2 linked regions of the Daphnia pulex genome follow. The main gene of each other region encodes a partner of the protein of the gene in region 2 in a complex. Links are inferred from orthologs where the notes say so. Each region holds a gene or a part of one and is shown on either strand. Other genes may lie near its edges.

What was found.
Region 1: exosome complex component RRP4-like (region 2) and exosome complex component RRP46-like share a complex: the UniProt entries of both Caenorhabditis elegans proteins name them as parts of the RNA exosome complex. The link is inferred for Daphnia pulex from reciprocal best matches to the Caenorhabditis elegans genes exos-2 and crn-5.

The regions. Positions count from the first base shown.
Region 1 is NC_060020.1:3,912,673-3,915,993, forward strand, and holds exosome complex component RRP46-like, read left to right. Parts: upstream 1-1,394; 5' UTR 1,395-1,543; coding exon 1,544-1,631; intron 1,632-1,720; coding exon 1,721-1,834; intron 1,835-1,895; coding exon 1,896-2,017; intron 2,018-2,083; coding exon 2,084-2,224; intron 2,225-2,306; coding exon 2,307-2,498; 3' UTR 2,499-2,532; downstream 2,533-3,321. Other genes in the region: serine/threonine-protein kinase D1-like, read right to left, coding at 353-484. UniProt on the Caenorhabditis elegans protein: Non-catalytic component of the RNA exosome complex which has 3'->5' exoribonuclease activity and participates in a multitude of cellular RNA processing and degradation events. Involved in apoptotic DNA degradation.
Region 2 is NC_060023.1:8,701,202-8,704,770, forward strand, and holds exosome complex component RRP4-like, read right to left. Parts: upstream 2,041-3,569; 5' UTR 1,927-2,040; coding exon 1,808-1,926; intron 1,748-1,807; coding exon 1,510-1,747; intron 1,450-1,509; coding exon 1,315-1,449; intron 1,257-1,314; coding exon 1,086-1,256; intron 1,021-1,085; coding exon 886-1,020; intron 824-885; coding exon 743-823; 3' UTR 710-742; downstream 1-709. Other genes in the region: uncharacterized protein LOC124197887, read left to right, coding at 1-113; CDP-diacylglycerol--glycerol-3-phosphate 3-phosphatidyltransferase, mitochondrial-like, read left to right, coding at 2,279-2,542, 2,607-3,512. UniProt on the Caenorhabditis elegans protein: Non-catalytic component of the RNA exosome complex which has 3'->5' exoribonuclease activity and participates in a multitude of cellular RNA processing and degradation events. Involved in regulation of antisense ribosomal siRNA production.

The sequences.
Region 1 (3,321 bases), on a different chromosome or scaffold from region 2:
TCATCCTAAATCCAATATCGCAACGTGGCTGCTGAAGAAATCGATTGGCCCCCTCTTGAAAAGAGATTATTTCTAATCATCCAACCTTATTGATCATTTAAAGCAGGATTGTGTCAACAGTTCCCAGTGGAAGTGGATGGGAAAATATGGAGAAAAATTCCGAATACAACAGCTTAGCAACTTAAAAGGCAAAAATATACACGGCAAACACACTTAAGCAACGACAGTGATGACGTAATATAATCAAAACAAAAAAGCTCTCTGGTTACTACAATAAAGGCGTTGTCAGGTGTATAGTGATGCATGGACGTGGAGGTAATTGGATCGGCGTGTAATGTTCAAAAACACTTACCCGTTGATTAATAAAGTTGCAGGCCAAATCTTTGAGCGTTTTCAGCGTTAACTGGGAGGCATCCGTGGAGATAAAGTCTCGTACCAGTCCAACTTGGAACATAAAGGTCACCTGACCATTACCATCATCCATGATGGAGCTTGGATCCAAAATTTTATGAAAAACACAATCACAATTATGGCGAAGTTTGACTTTTGGATGGCAGTGAAATTCGCACACACACAAAACTGGCCCTTTTTCGTTGGAATAGTCTGTGTGGTTGGTGTGTGTGTGTGCAATCAGGTGGGAGCAATGGAGTAAAAAAAAAAAAAAAACGGGTTCCAGCAACCAACAGGTTGATTGGAATGTCACATAGCCTCGGGCTGAGATCACCTTTTCTTTCGTCGTTCTCCCGCCCTGGCACCACTTAGATTTTTCCTTTTCTTTCTTCTTCAAAGAAAAAAGGTTGGGTTTTTACCTCCACTTGATTGCACGACAAAACTGAGCAACACGACTGTTTTAAAACCAACACAGATGGGAGCAGCACAACGCGTGATAACACGTTGGTGATGAAAAAAGTCGGTGCGAATAAGAGGGACTGGCTAATGGAAATGCCCAAACTAAATTCAATTAATACGCAGGTTTCCCAATCATGATGGCACACACAAAAAATTCACGTATAAACATCACACACACACACACACACACTAGCACACTTTACGTTCTCTCGAGAAATGCAGAAACAGACTCACGTACGTGTGTGTGTGTGTTTCTGACCGTGCAGCTCAAGTCACGATAACTTGGTAGTCTGCCGAGCTAATAAATACTGTCGCTACTCGGAGATCCGTCTTTGGCTTGCTCACAATTTTCTGGCCAAAAACAGCGTTGCCATTCTCTCGTGACTGAACGAACGAAATCCATGAAAAATACATATTCATAGCTACATTGGAAAATTGTGAATTTTTCAGGTCTTCTTTATTACAAATATAATAGTTGTTTTAAATTCATGGAGTTAAAAGTTATATTTTGTGTGATTAAGTAAATGGTTGCCATGGTAACTTAGAGACATCTGCAGACTGCTGTTGCCGACCCGTCAACCCCATGTATTTTTTACGATCACGTTGCTTATGCAGAAACAGGGCTGCGTTCTTAATCTGAATTATTGAATACTTTTTCAATCACAAAGAATTGCTTGCAATATTATTATTCGCCATGGAGACTGAAGAGAATAGCATTCGTGCTTTAAAGTGCGAACAAAGCGTACTGTCACGTGCAGATGGCTCGGTGATGTTTTCTCAAGGTAAGTTTAGATTTGTAACTTTTTCCACGCTGTTTTCGTGTTATTTTGTCCAAGTCGGTAAATTTTATTTTATTGACTTGTCATTTCAGGGAATACTGTGGTAATGGCTTCAGTTTATGGACCTTTGGAGGCTAAAATTCAAAAGGAACTGTCCGATAGAATGTACATTGAACTAAACTACAAGCCAAAAACAGGAATGCCAGGTTATTAATAACTTATCCTGTGTATTATTATTTCTGTAATATTGAATGCATTTTTATTTAGGTGTTGCTGAGCGTGGAAAGGAGAAACTCATCAAGACCACTTGTAATCACATTATTTTGACGAACCTGCACCCTCGAACAGCTGTCTGCATAACAGTTCAAGAAATGCAAGATGGTGGAACTGTAAGCACTTACCACAACAAATTTATTTTGATCAAGAATTAGTTGTTCACATTTTCCATAAACTAGTTGCTAGCAGCCTCCATCAATGCTGTGTGCCTTGCACTTCTTGACTCGGGTTTACCCCTGCAGTGTCTTGTAGCTGCAGTGACTTGTTTGGTAGACAAGAAGGATAGAATTGTCCTAGACCCATGCATCAGCACAGTCAAAGTATGATTTCCACTAAGAATTAACTAATTTTTTTCCCCCATTTTTTGTTGTTGTGCCTAACTTACTTTTTTCCCCATTACAGGAAGGTTATAAAGCAATGTTTACCTTTGCTTTTGACAGTCAAAAATACAACTTAATTCTGAGCCACTGTGAAGGCCAAGTTCCCTATCAACTTTTTCAAAAAGCCATGGAGCTGTGTCAGAAAGCCAGTCACGTCATCTTTGATTTCTACCGGCAAGCAGTACTACGAAAGTTTTCCAACGAACTTCTGTAAAACTTTCAAAAAATACACATTTTAAAGTTTTGTATATGCGACTGAAAACAAAGTATAATTGTATAAGTATAGGCTTGCTTATTTCCAGTATCGTTAAATTTCTTCGGAAAACCAATCCATCCTAATATGTCATGCGCATCTAGCAATACTCGAGTAATCACGTTCACCAAAACTATATCTAGAAGGTTTCCTGCCCGGAGCTTGGCTCCAATGCAATGCGGTACAATTTTGACACAAGTTATTTAGGTATAGTAAAAGTGCCGATTGTGAAATCAGAAAAAAAATAAACTTAACTTTGAAACAAACTCTTCTTAGAATGACATATGGTAGGTAGTTCTACCATTTTTAGGATTTATTCGGTCGGAAAATGTAGCATAAAGGAATTTCTTTTATGGTTATTCTGAAAATTTATTTCAAGGTGGTCTGGATATATCGAGTGCGATTTCAGCCTTTACGGTAATAGGCCTTGAAATGTTTTTCTCAATTAGAAAGTTTAGCCAATTAGGCTGTCAAGTCAAAGTCAACACAAATAAAGCAATTCTAAATTTAAGTCATGTATCACCTGATTCCAGTTTCGAGTTATTTTCCGATTGTTCCATTTCAGTAGCAATCGTAATCATGATTGTGGCTAAGTAAACGTTATCTTGTGTGTGGTGTCCATTATTAGACAAAAGAATCTAAATTGGTCAGAACACTTTGAAGAGATTAGAAATTATTAGTTGATTGTCAAAATGACTCAAATAATTTAGAAAGTGTCACTGCTTCGTTATTCGTCCTTTAAAACAATTTAAAATTCCTGTATTGTCCTACATTCATTGCGTGG
Region 2 (3,569 bases):
AGACGTCCGTCCTGGCGTTGGCCGTCACATGCGCTCTTCTCTTATTACTGTACATCTGCACCGTGTTCTACTTCCTCATGCGCCGCTGGTTGGGACCCGACAAGAGCGTCTAAGATTACAAACCCATCTAATCAAGGTGGAATCCTAATATCTAAAAACACGGGACATTTTCCAATCGTGAAGCCCTCCTAAACATAATCGTTATCCATTCGTCGTCACGGAATTTCGCTAGATATTCATTGTTTCTATTTATCATTATTTTTTTTTTTTGTTAATTATTATTTGCTTGATTTGTTAAAGCAGCGCTTTAACATGACTTCCGGTTAAATCTTTTTTTTTTCCTTCCTTGGTGGACCTAGGGAACGGGGTCCATTAGTAATTTATTATCCTATATAATCTTTTTAGGTGTTTCAAAACTAGCCCAGGGCATTTTGTTGAGTGGTGCTTACGGCAGATCTTATCCTGGTTTTCTCTAGCACACTTGTTTTAATGTAAATATGATTTGTGGGGGGGATGACTTATAAATGAAGTCTACAAAATTTTAATATTCTTGGGAAACCGGTTGTAGTTGGAAACAAAAAAAAACCGCCTTTATTATCGAATGTTTCTTCGTTTATGTTTTTCCCTGCCCCAGAATAAAACTTTGTCTGCAGTATGAATAAACTGATCCACACCATTAATGTTTGGGAAATCGAATGTCAACTTCTGGTTCAGCCTGAGCCATGTTTATTCGAAAATTAAATTATTCTTTTTCCATTTCGAACTGCTTACGAACCATTAAAGCGATTTCTTTTATCTTGTCCGGTAGGAGAAGATCCTTGATCTACATAAAAGCATTATATAAGTTAGCATTGAATTATTTAGTTTCAATGTAAAAATAATTACCTCAAGCCCAGCATTTACGGAGGCTTCGTAGGCATGCATAATGCTGGTATCATAGATCATCATCTTGCAGTGCGCCAAAGCTGTCACACAATTCCTTAACCGGCTTATAGCTTGTCGATCGGCATGCGGAACTGTCTATAGGTTTCAACAGAATTAGCTTCCACGTGATAATGTACAAACATCGACTTTTTAGTACGCACCTCCAAGTTTTGAACAAATCCACCGGCGCCATCGTCAAGGAGCGTAGGGCAGATCCAAACAAATCCATTGTTACCCATAATGATACTTGCTCCGCAAGGCAAGTTGTGGAAATGAGTCTTCTGTCTTCGGATCAAAGATGGACTAACTTTTATTAGGCAACCTTGGGAAAGCTATAACAGATAAATGGTTGTTATTACAGTTAATATTTTAAATAACTTATTGTTATACTTTTCCATATTTCATGCTGCGGGTGTGTAAAGAAAGAGCTCCATCATTGAAGATGTTTTGAACCTCTGCACTGACCAAATCTCCTTCTTTCAGGTATTGCCTCATGGCTAATTCATCTTCTGCTGATCTTCTTCTCTAAAAGCATTATGAGATATAAATATTTGTGTAATTGCACAAATAAAAAGTCTTTCTTACGAGTTCACCACCAGGCAAATTGACTGACTGAAGAAGAAGCACTGAATCTAATCTTGCATTGGTGTCCAGTTTCCAACGTTTCTGTGAAACCTCAGTAACCCTACCAATTACGACATCTCCAATCTCCCCATGATAACGAGATTTCAAGGGTCTAACTGAAATAAGTTGGTTGACTCTCTCCACAACTCCAGCAACACTGGAGTACAAACAGTCATCTTGCATGTATGTTCCATGACCCCTTAGCAAAACATAAAATAAGATTATCATCAAGAAAATGGCAAAACTTTTAACAATCTACCTCATGAATCCTGTTTCCTTTGTGATCAAAGAGCCAGGTGTGACAAGATGTTTGGGTTCAGTAGAATCAGCGACGATATGAAAAGGAGGCACTTCAGAAGCAAGGCGAATGTCTACCATTCTTTTGGTTTTAATTATCCTAATGTATCAAGTTCAAAAAAAAGGAAACAACAGCACACTTGAAAATGACAATAATTCATCGTGTTCTGCTATACCATGCTGCTACGTTGCCTAAGCTATGGCGATATCAAAATATTTAAGAATATAAATATTTGTGGATATTCTTGTCAAAATGATATTGTGCAATTTAAATCGACTAATTAACTTATGTTCGAAATGGAAAATATAAAGTCAACTGAAATTTTTTTAACGAATCAAATAAAACATTGCGCGAATCACATTAGTATTAATTTTTGCCATCAGATGTCTGTTTGTTTATATGCCGATTCATTTCATTCGTCCGTACAAGTAAATGTCACTAATTTGCCAAAAAGCAATACTTTTTTCAACAACGATATGCGTTGCTGGGCGACAACGAGTATCTTGGCACTTCCTTCCCAAGACTGCTCGCAGAGGTTGGCAACGTAACCTTGTCTCGAGATCACTTCATCTCCAGCATCGTCCCGAAATGGAACCCGACAGTGATGAACAGCAGAGAACGGAACTGTTAACGACCCTTGAAAATTTCAGATGGCTCGGAAGTAAAACCCCTTGTTTCCCTGTGAACGGAAATAAGGTTAGTGTTCTAATAAGGTATTTTATTAGTGTCTTCTAGTAATAGTTGTAAAATTTTTTCTTAGGTTCGAGTTTTGTCTGATCCTGAAGATTTCTACAAAACACTTATTGAAAAGACTAGTCAAGCAAGTCAAAGAGTCACTTTTGCATCCTTATATCTTGGAACAGGAAATCATGAAAATGAGCTTGTAAAAACAATTGAAAGTACTTTGAAGAAAAACTCTGGCTCCAGCCTGAAAGTTCGAATTCTGTTGGATGCAACAAGAGGCTCTAGAGGTGCCCAATTCAATTCCCGTACAATGCTGCTTCCCTTAGTTCAGTCCTACAGCCAGCAGTGTTCAGTCCATTTTTATCACACTCCAGCACTTAGAGGATTATTAAAGAAAATTCTCCCAGAAAGATGGAATGAAATTATTGGCTTGCAACATATGAAGATTTACATATTTGACGATTCCTTATTAATCAGTGGCGCAAATTTAAGCCACGATTACTTCACAAATCGGCAAGATCGATACATAATTATGGAAGATTGCAAAGATTTAGTGGATTTCTTTGACCAACTAGTAGAAACTGTGTGCCAGTTTTCATTTCATTTAAGTGAAAACAACTGCCTTAACTTGAATTCCGCTTTTCCTCACCATCCGTTTGAATCCAATCGGCTTGAATTTACAGAAGAAGCAAAACGGAGAATCAACAACTTGTTTGAAAAGCAAATAAAAGCAAATGTTTCGTCCTCGATATTTCAATGGCCGAATCCGTCTGCTTACGACACCTGGATCTTCCCTTTCGTCCAGATGGGGCAGCTAAACATTTACATGGATAACATCTTGACGCGCGAGATTCTAGAAAACGTACCGGCAAACGCCGAATTATGTCTAGCAACCGGGTACTTCAACCTGACTCAGGACTATATGGATAGTTTGCTAGAAGCGTCCCAGCCAAATGTTCACATTCTCATGGCACATCCTCTGGTAAGCCCCTATCACCATTCAAACAAACGTTCTCCCATTTAATTTGATTGATTTATT